3 linked regions of the Nothobranchius furzeri genome follow. The protein of the gene in region 3 interacts with the protein of the main gene of each other region in a pairwise test. Links are inferred from orthologs where the notes say so. Each region holds a gene or a part of one and is shown on either strand. Other genes may lie near its edges. The genes, in order: hmga1a, psmf1 and RNA binding protein fox-1 homolog 2.

Region 1 (3,833 bases), on a different chromosome or scaffold from region 3:
TGTGCTGGTTGGGGGCGGAGGGGTGCTTAGTGTCAGCCTGGAAACAGTCTTGCGGCCTCTGCACCTGCACCACACAGTGCATGACAAGCTGCAGGAAGCTGGAGGACAGGAAGTACAGGGTAAATATCAGGCCCCCCCTTCCACCCCCAAATAAAGCAGTTAACCAAGATTTATTGGTATTGATAATCACTTTGCCGCCCCCAATAGGGAGTCATGGCCGGGCTATTTGTGGCACCTTGAACTGCAGCCAATAAACATATATCAACAGCAGAGGATGAGGTTAGCTGTTGCAAACTACGGGAATATAAGTTTCAAACAAGACGAGCAATGACTTACCTTGCCCTTGCCAGCAGTCTTGTTTTTGCTGCCCTTTGGTCGCCCTCTGGGCCTCTTTGGAGTTGGTGACCCACTTGGCTCCTGGATATCAAACAGGTTATAGTTAATATCAAGAATGTTTTAATAGATGCCCAAAAAGGCTCAATTTTAGTGCACATCAAAACAATTGAAATCAAAACAAAAACTGACTGAGCAATCTGGCTGAACCGTAAACATCAGAGGGGACTGCCATAACATCTGAAAGTTCAGCAAATTCATGCACAACTCGTGGTTTAAACCGGCGTCATGGCCCACTCGTCTTCTGTTGCTCGTCTGATGTGTTGATCATCACAGCTCTTAGCAACCCAGCAACTCAATAGTAATACACAGCAGGCCAAGTGACATCTATGTGATCCACTCTGGGCCACAACTCTCCTATGTAATGCAGAAGAGGATGAGGGGGAGGTTAAAACCAGTTTAAAGGTGTTAGGTTACTGGTTGCTTACAAACTGGTGAGACATGCTGGGAATTTGCTGTACACCTCAGCAGTGGAAAAGCAGGGGGCAAATGGCCACAAGGCCATGCTCCTGCAGTCTGGGCTATTTTATTCTGGTCTCAAGACTCTGATATGCACAAACCTGCATGTGCGTCTAACTGAGCCTCAGCGATCACAAGAGGACCTGAGGCTCAGCACCACACCGGCCTGGTTCTGCATGCATTTAAGATCAAGTTTATTCCCATGGCATGCAAAAATAAAAATAAAAAATAATAATAATAATAATAAAACGACGGGGTGGTAGAAAATCAGCTAGTATACCAGAATAAATAGACACTACTTACGTCAGAGGTTTTCACCTCGAGCGATTTGCGGGGTCTTCCACGCCCTCTCTTCTCTGCCGCCTCCTTCTCTTTCGGTGAGACTGTCCCCTTGTCGCTCATATTTGCTCTTCCAACCTGAATGGATGATGATGATAATGATGATTTAAATAAACCCTACCGGCCGGCCTTGATGCTGCAAGAGGCGTCGAGTTCACACAGAAAACTGAGCACAGCGTGTACCCGTGAGCCACTAAACCCACTGACCGCAACAACAAACCAAAGATGACCGACCGCACCACGCACGGTTTAACCCAATTAATCCGCGCTGGTTTCCAGGTCTATTTCCGTCTCGTCTGCGCTCTGCGACACAAGAGGTTTACGCAGAAAACCGATCACAGCAGGCTTAACCTGCAAAAGACCACAAAACCAGCCAATTCCCTCCGGTACCGACCGCGCTTATAGGCCCCGCAGGAGCCCAAAGACCAGGCCTGCGCACGGAACCATCTCAGAGCAGCGTGTCTGCACGCCTGGGCCGCGGAGAGATCCACCGACACTCACACACCACAATGGCCGCGGCTCGTTTCTGGTTGCAGGCAACAAGCTTTGAGCTGAATGGCTTTTTAAAAATTAAGTGGCGGAGGGGAGAGCAGCAACCGAGGTCTCCGTGTAGCGGAGCGAGCCCGGACCGAAGCAACAAAAGACGGCTGACAACGTGCCGCCGTTTCCCGCCGGAGCTCCGGGCTGTTTGTAAAACCGGTGGTCGCATCCCCACTCACCTTTGTCACGGTGCTATCGCCTCCGTGCTAAACTCAGGTAGACTTGTTTCCGTTTGAAGCCCGGCTGGTGCGTACCCGGTTAAAAAGCTGATCTATAGGCTACAGCTTTTATTCGTCAGACAGCCCGCCCATTTAAAAAGCCCAGCTCACGCGCCTTAAAAACACACACAAACCCATTTAAATAAGCGAAAAGCTGAACTTTCTGCATTTTTGTACATGAAACATATTTATTTTTACCAGCACGGTGAGAAGTTTAATCCAAAGGTTTCCCTCGGTAGAGCACGTGCGTCTCGCGCAGATAAAGGAATGAAAGGCGCCGGAGTCGGACAGGAGGAGTTTTTGGACAATTTAAAGAACCGCCCTCAGGAGAGCGGGAACACTGGAGGGCGGGGATATGATAACGAGGGCCACCAACAGAACCAGAACAGCCCAACCTCCACTCAGCACCGCCGGTGTTCCGACTATCCGTGCCCCCCGTCGAAATATTATACTTTGGGGAAATGCGCAGCGCCTGCGCAGGCCGATTATTGCGTCACAGGGTGTTTACAAGTCGAGACGCGCTACCTGTGGAAGTTTACGTTTAATCTCGTCACTTATCTAGTTACTTTCAACTCGTCGAAGGTCACAGTACGTATTTCTTTAAGTTGTTATATAAAATTATTGCTTACTGTATGTTTACCGGACAGCTTGTGAATGGCTTCTAAAATATCGTTATTATAATGTAAACAAGACATTTCTCCCATTGTTTACATTCATTCTGAAAGAGTCCCAAATTAATATCCAAAAGTTTTATATTATACATATAATAAATTTATCATAGTTGTATAATAATCTCCAAAATTATACATTCAAACAAATAACTAAGTATTGGGGGGAAAGCAAAGTGAGTTAATTTGTCTAATAAAGGATTATAGAATGATAAGAGCTAACGTCTTACAAATCTCCATTTTTATGAATCACTTTCTTGACATGGGTGAAAGTAGTTGGTAAATCGTCATTGTTTTAGCATCTAAGGGGTTTTACGAAATGACTAAATTGCTTACAATCCACTTTTTTCATAAAATAAAATTAACCTACATTGTGTCATAGCCTCCACTGTCATGGCGCTTGAACTATGATGACGTCCCCCAATGTAAACAATCCCTTTGCTCATGTTTAAATAACGAGACTAAAAAGTAATTTAATTTATACATATTATTTAAATATATTAATAATATTATTTTGTACAAAACCCAAACGGAAACAATGCATGTGGAGCTAATTTTAATCTAATTTTCTTTTATTTGTTGTGCATTAAAGAAAAAACAATTATGTTTCATTTAAAATTCAAATGACATTTTTGAGCAGCTATTTCAGAATTATATTTGAATCTTAATTATATTGAGGAGTTTTTTTTCTTTATGTTGATTTTCCTTTCTTTTTTTTAATTATGCTAATCTTTAAAACATATTTGTGTATTCATTTTGTATGAAACCCTAAGAGAAACAGTAAATGTGGAGCTAATTTTAATCTACTAGCCGAAGTTTAGTTTGAATGAAATTAAATCGTAAACTCCCTATGAAGCATCGCTGATTTTCTCAAAGAATTTTACTGTTCTGTTAACATCGGTGCTCATCTACATGTGCAGACATGGTCCCTAAATTATTCTTGTATTAGGCAACAATTAATATGAAAAGTTTAACATAGATTTTTATTAAACATTTTATGAGTCATTTGAAATAAAAATTGTACTTTTTTGCTGCTATTTCAGAATTATATTTGAATCTTAACTATAATTAGCAAGGTTTTTCTTCATTATGGTTTTCTTTCTTCTTTTTTTAACCTAAAACTAATCTTTAAAAAAAAACTTGTACTTCTGTCATCAAAAGCTGGAAGGTGATTTACTCATTGATGTTGTTCACAAGCAAAACAAACTTTAATGAA
Region 2 (2,962 bases), on a different chromosome or scaffold from region 3:
AATACAGAACAGATGAAGGTTGGATAGAACATATAGAACATTTAAAAATACAGTATAGTACAGGGAAACGGAGTAATATTCTCCTGTTTGAATTTACCATCAGTCAAACACGGTGCTCAGTTTCTGGGTCGCTGACAATGCTCTAAAAATAAAGATTTGCATTTATAGTAAACTTTTATGATCAGCAACTGAAATTCTCTTTCCCAAAACTAAAGCACAGCGTTCTTTGTCTCATATTCAGATCTTATAATACATTGTCTCAAATTTCTGCCAAATGTGGCTGTTTTTGTTCCAAAGATGCTTAAAGCCATCTCTTCACATCCTGATTTCCCTGGAGTCTGCTGTGGAAATCCCAGCCGGCTGGAACTCTGTTGTTTTACTTCAGTGTTCTGATTAGTTTGTTAGAAAACAACAAAGCTAAGGCTATCTACTGAATATGTGCTAAAAAGTGGTATTAAAAGATCAAAAATTACACTCAACAGCCTTAAAATAAGTTATGTTTATCGCAAGAAAAGCAACAAAAGGTTTTTAAGAAATATTGGCAAATTTTAACCATAAAGGAAGTTATAAATATGCTAGATTTTAAATAGTTTCATGTTTGTTTTATAATTATTTTATTTTTAGGTTAAAGAAACCAGACTGACGTCTGTGCTTTTGTTTCTTTTCAGGCCCAATCCTTTGGATCCTCCGTTTGCAGTTGGAGGAGCAGACCTGGATCCTTTTGGGTGAGTCATATCATCCCTCAGTCCTAATTATTTTAGTGTTCTCTCAGAAAAAAAGGTATTAGCAAGACTCCGAAATAATCTGTATATTTTTAAGGAAAATTTAATGTCTTAACCCTGACTGGGGGCTCGGAGTAGAGCCGCTGCTCCTCTGCATCGATTCGAGCATCCAAGGTGGCCTCCCCCTGGAGGTTTTCCGGGCCCGTCTGGAAAGACCCAGAGCCCACTGTAGGTATTGTATCTATCCTGTCTGGCGTAGGAATATTTTGGGATTCCACAAAGAGAGCTGGGGACAGGAACGTCCAGGCTTCCCATATGGACCTGACGCCCCAGTGACTGGACCTCAGATAAGCGGAACAAGATGGATCCATGGATGGATCTTGGCACTTGACTAATTCAAACTGTATATTAAAATGTTTTTGACAACATTCATAAAGCATTTCTTTACTCACCTTCTAGAATTATGTTGGATTATAGTATCTTCACATACTTTTTCTCTGTCTCATTGTTCTTCTTGCCCGGTGTTCTGTTTTTGTTCATTTATTTCACCTTTAATATAAAACTCTAATCTCTGCTCTTGAAGGATTACTAATCTTTAGAATAAAAGACCAGTTGTTGGAGTTCATGCCGGTATAATCCAATCTCAGGTATAAGCCAATTTCACTCTGTAATTAAAACAGTTAGTTTGCTTTTAAACCGTCTTCTAACATCCATCCGTCATTTTTTGTTCCAATTTTTGTATTTGAGCTCAAAAATAACAAGGAAACAAAATTAATTTTATCCCCCCCAGAACTCGTGGTGGCGGCGGGATGATAGTCGACCCGTTGAGGTCGGGGTATCCTCGCTCCGGCTTTGACCCGTCTAGCGGCATACCAGACATCCTGCCTCCTGGAGCCGTTCCCCCAGGAGCGCGCTTCGACCCGTTTGGACCCATCGGACGTCACAGACCAGGGTGAGACGCAAACGATGCTCAGCAGACGACAACCTTGGGCTGACTTCTGGGTTCGCCCCAGAAAACGGATGCTTCAGATACATTTTTAGTTCTTTCTACAGTTTCTGGACTTTTTGTTCAGATTAAACTAAGAGAAACCAGAAGAGTAATGACAGCTTTCTGACTGCTTTCTCCTCTTTGCCTCGTTTTTAGGCCAGATCCAGACCACATGCCCCCACCTGGCTACGATGACATGTTCATGTAGTGCCCACCCGTGTTTCCTGCTTTTCAACTTTCTGCTTGCTACTGATCTAAAACTGGATCCAGTTCAGAGACCTGAAAGTTTCAATCTGCTCTGAAGAGGAGGGTTATTCTTCTCATTCCTCCACTCACACAACATTAAAACTTTGATTCGACTCACAGAAGAACCCGTTAGTGATGTAAAATATTAAGTCTGATTTTTAAAGAAACTTTAGTAAAAACAAAAAATCAGATTATTGTGGTAAACATGTTCATCTTAGACTCCTAGTTTCTTGTGACCTTCATTATTCTGAATAGCGATCACACTCCGTAACTGCTTTTGAAGGACAAACAGCTCAACATGCTGACAGAACAATATGGCTTTATAATTATTTCCTGCAAAAAGTTCAAATAAAAATGACTTTGAACCCTGTCGTGTTGCTGTTTTAAGCATTTCCTTTTATTTACTTCACACATTAGCAGCTTTCTATCCAAAGAGGGTTTCTCAGCTTTGCTTCTTAGAGGAAAAGTAAAAATGACCTTCAGTCCTAAATGGTCTAAATGGGAAGTTAAGATGAAGAGGTAAACTAAAAGAAGAAGAAATGGATGAAGATTATTATTTTTATTATTATTACATGGCTTTTTAAATTAAAATCACAAGTGCAATAAAATTATTTAAAAACCAACAGTGCTGTCACCAGCATGCTAGTACTTTTATTTATTTCAGGACCATAAAATCAACATTTTATGTTGAGGACGTCCCTTTAAACAAAGAAAGTTGGTGAGGATGACCTGAATGCTTCATCCTCTGAGAAGCATGAACGACCGAGTTAAGAGAAACACACCATAACAACCAGCTCTCAGTATGTTTATTGATCTGGAATCATATGTGAGTCTGTAGTTTCCCTCAGCATCATAATTTCCCATTTTCAGTGTGACCTACTAAACCTGATGAGGTTTCCATCGTCCGTTGCACAAAGGTGGCTGAACTTTTTTCATCTACATAAAACCCAGTGAATATATAAAAAACAAAGATGATTGGTTTAATAATCCAGTCACTGCAAATGTC
Region 3 (3,600 bases):
CGTTTGTTAGGATTACCGCAAGAGCTGCGATATAAAAAAACTACAAAGATGGTGCCGGTTAAGGAACGGTGCCCGTTTGAAACAATTGTGGCATCAACTTTGGACGATATAGACTTGGGTTTTTCTTTGAGACATGACTCAATAGAACTACTTCAACGGCGTAAGGCAGACTGCCCTACTGACTGGTTGCCATGGCGATGAAAACATCACTCTGTTTGTTGCTCTGACTGGCTCTGGCACTGATCAGGTGTGTGCGAAGACAGTTTGAAAGACAACCGTAGATTCCGCCCCACAACTGAGCTCTGTCTATGGGTCGTGGTCAGACCATATATTCACACATATAGGACGGCTTGGCAGGCTAGAAATTGTTTGCTTTGCTGAAACATCTAACAGAAAACAAGCAGAAGATATCAGAAGTACAGCACTGTATCATTTTGCTTTTCTTCTACTTTTTCCTCTACCCCAATCTTAAAGGTTGATTCTTTATTATGCTAACATAGATGCTATCCGCTTGTTGCAGTCGACCACGCGCCCCCTCTTTGATAGAGCTTTACCAACTCGTCTGGATTCGGTTGCACACAGGTGACCTCATGCTGTGTCTGGCCGCTCCTCTCAGAGCCATTTTCCTGAACTAAAACACCAGACATCAGCTAAACTGTCCTGCTCTATTATTGGATTAGATGCCAGTTCAAACTGTATGCGTGTAGGTGTAAGAAAAAGAGCTGTGCGGCGTGTTTATGAGCCGAGGAGATGGAGGGACTAATAGCAAACAAATCCAGAGAACTAGTGGTTTACTGTAGACAGTAGATCAGTGCAGAGAGGCAGAACCGGCTGCAGATGCTTTGCTGTCTCAGCTGTCGAGTCATGAATGCAGCGAAGACCTGCAGTTAAGAAAGGCCCCCCTGAGCCTCCTTTTGCTCCTTCAGCCTCCAGCGACAAAAAAAAAACTCTGTTCTTTGTCTTTCACTGTGGTGACCCCTCCCCCAATCCCTGTCTGCCTCTCTCTTTTAACACCTAGCCACACCGAGAAGGGGGGAGCAGCCATGTGTCAGGATTTAGGGAAAATCCATTTTTAAAAATGACAATATTTGATCATTTTTAGCTGATTTGAATGAAAACGTGTTAAAAATCTTGCCGGATGGGAGGAAGCACTAGCTTTTCATATGAGACAGGCATGATGAATGTCTGATCTTTGCTGTGCTGCTGTCTGTCATAGCAATGGAGCCTGGATCATATTACCTTTGTCTGGGCTGCTCCTTCACTGCACAGCCCGAGTCTCAACGAGACACATTTCGCAATATTCCTTCACTGGCCTCTAAATTATAAACCCCCTGTCTGGTTACAATGTTTTTGTTCTTTGTTGCAAAGATGACAGGGTTGTGTTGTTGCTGAAAGAGAGTTAGGGCCCTGTCAAAACATCCCTCCTGATGATGCTGAGGAGCAAATGTGAGCAGAAGAGATGAGAACATAACACACACGAATGTGTCTGACGGGTTTTAGAGTAATCCTACCTGTCCGATGTCTCCGACCACGCTCCCGGTCCCGTCTATCCGTGGTCTCTTGCATTCCGCCCCGGCCAGGTCGGTCAGGGCAGCGGCAGTCTGAGCGTCGGGCTCCGGGTCTCCCCGTTTCATCCCCCGGACAACCGCTGGACCCGCGGCCGCGCTCGCATGAGGTCCGGCGGCTACTGTATCAATGTCCCTTTCGCGGTCCATTATTCCCCGATTAACGGGTAGCATTATAGATGCAACGTCGGTCGACATTAACATTGGACGACAGGCGGTCACAAGTCAAAAGTCTGCAGCTTGTTTTCACCTCCTTTCTTCCGTTTGCTTCACAATGGCTTTCCCACACAACGCGGATAATATTGAACAGATTTTCATCAATATGAAAAGCTCGCACTGTTTATTGTCTTAACTTGGCTTTGGCTAAGCCAGCAGGACCATTGTGGCCGAACTAGGAACCCGTAAAGAGCAACAATAGAGCAGGCTCTCCCTAACAGAGTCAGATGTCGCCAAGCAGTGACCTATTTTAATAAAATCAAGCGTCCGACTCGCGAATGCCTGATAGGCTAATTAGCTAGCTAACGTTAGCCAGCTCGCTAGCATTACATTCCGCTAGCTCTCCTTATAAATGTGGCTCGGAGAGCTCCTCACTCCCGCTGCCAAGAATAGAAAATGTTGGAAATGAGCAGAACGTCACACTACTCCTGCGTGGAGCGGAGAGCCAGAGCTCGCTCTGCTGGCTGCTGTTGCGGGGTTAAAACTCCTCCGTATCCGCTTTTCCTTTCAGTCGCTCCCGTCTTGTCCGTTCCCTCGCCGCCGTGGTCTACTCGTGGATGAGTCTTCTCGTGTCGACCTGGCCACCACCGACGAGCACGATTTCCTCTGGATTCAGTCCCACACTCTCCCAGTGTTGGCGTTGCTGATCCGAGGTCAGATTTTACCACGAAGACTGGGATTAGACAGAAGACGTTGAGGTGAAACGGACTGGTCTGAGGTCTGTTCTTCCCTGGTCTCCTTCTCCTCCTTTTTCCCAACGCCACCTACCACCACCACCACCTCCTCCTCCGCCTCACCGCTCCCTCCTTTATTCTTATTTCAGTCTTTTGGTCGAATAAACGAAAACCTTCATTGTTTAACCGATTTTAGACCTGACGAAAAATTCCTCAAGTCTATAAAGAAATAAAGGAAATTAGAAACAACAACACACAGAAAAATCGAAAAAAGCAACAACAATTTTTTATACATTTCACCCCCCCCAAAAAAAGAAAATAAAACAGCAACAATTTACATAGTTCAGTAAAAAATGTCAACACATTCCTTCACGTTGTATTAAAATAGCCTGTGTATTATAAAATCTTGTTACTATCATGACAAAAATGAAAAGAAATGAGATTCATTAAAAGTCATATTTTCTACATTTAATTCATTTAGGTTTTATTGATATGTTTGACTTTTGTAGCTTTAAAATGCAACCTAAATACATGTAAACTGTACATTAAATATTTATATTTTTAATTGTTTCATACATATGCAAACCGGTCTTTACAATTAGCTTTTTCAAAAATTGAAGAATTATAAATAATTACGATGAGACCCAATCTGGCTTCTGTTGTCTGGACTTCATTTAATATTTTAGTTGGACATGGGGGTAAATGTAACGCACAGTATTCCGTTACAAGGGGTTTTCTTTCTGAATCATTTAGCGCCTTCAAGTGGCTGAAGGATAGAACAGCACGTCAACGGGGAGACACTTTTCATTATAAATGTGGATCTAAAGTCTGGTACTGAGTGTTCTGATATTGATTAGATTGTTCTTATTTCTGAGCACAAACACAACATTAAAGCAAATGTTCATCCTGCATTAAAATGAATAATAATAATAATAATAATAATAATAATAATAATAATAATAATAAAGCATAGTTTCGTTGTAAAAAGGCTTGAGTTGAATTGTTACTCTCTAATCGTGTTTTTCAGCTGCTGATTTAATTGGGGAGTTACCCTGTTTGTTGGGAATGGAATTTAAAAAAGATAATATTATCTTCAGGACATCGTAGATAGATTACAGAAACCATGCACCTTTCTTTCGACATAA

The links.
Region 1: the proteins of RNA binding protein fox-1 homolog 2 (region 3) and hmga1a interact in a two-hybrid assay, tested with the Homo sapiens proteins (2 studies listed by BioGRID and IntAct, with this or other methods). The link is inferred for Nothobranchius furzeri from reciprocal best matches to the Homo sapiens genes RBFOX2 and HMGA1.
Region 2: the proteins of RNA binding protein fox-1 homolog 2 (region 3) and psmf1 interact in a two-hybrid assay, tested with the Homo sapiens proteins (2 studies listed by BioGRID and IntAct). The two-hybrid records come from large-scale screens. The link is inferred for Nothobranchius furzeri from reciprocal best matches to the Homo sapiens genes RBFOX2 and PSMF1.

What each region holds. Positions count from the first base shown.
Region 1 is NC_091755.1:54,122,451-54,126,283, reverse strand, and holds the start of hmga1a (high mobility group AT-hook 1a), read right to left. Parts: upstream 2,357-3,833; 5' UTR 2,148-2,356; intron 2,066-2,147; exon of another isoform or gene 1,911-2,065; intron 1,270-1,910; 5' UTR 1,255-1,269; coding exon 1,156-1,254; intron 418-1,155; coding exon 337-417; intron 1-336. UniProt on the Homo sapiens protein: HMG-I/Y bind preferentially to the minor groove of A+T rich regions in double-stranded DNA. It is suggested that these proteins could function in nucleosome phasing and in the 3'-end processing of mRNA transcripts.
Region 2 is NC_091743.1:68,640,070-68,643,031, reverse strand, and holds the end of psmf1 (proteasome inhibitor PI31 subunit), read left to right. Parts: intron 1-668; coding exon 669-725; intron 726-1,512; coding exon 1,513-1,674; intron 1,675-1,866; coding exon 1,867-1,918; 3' UTR 1,919-2,326; downstream 2,327-2,962. UniProt on the Homo sapiens protein: Plays an important role in control of proteasome function. Inhibits the hydrolysis of protein and peptide substrates by the 20S proteasome. Also inhibits the activation of the proteasome by the proteasome regulatory proteins PA700 and PA28.
Region 3 is NC_091752.1:66,556,047-66,559,646, forward strand, and holds the start of RNA binding protein fox-1 homolog 2, read right to left. Parts: upstream 2,543-3,600; 5' UTR 1,770-2,542; coding exon 1,512-1,769; intron 1-1,511. UniProt on the Homo sapiens protein: RNA-binding protein that regulates alternative splicing events by binding to 5'-UGCAUGU-3' elements. Prevents binding of U2AF2 to the 3'-splice site.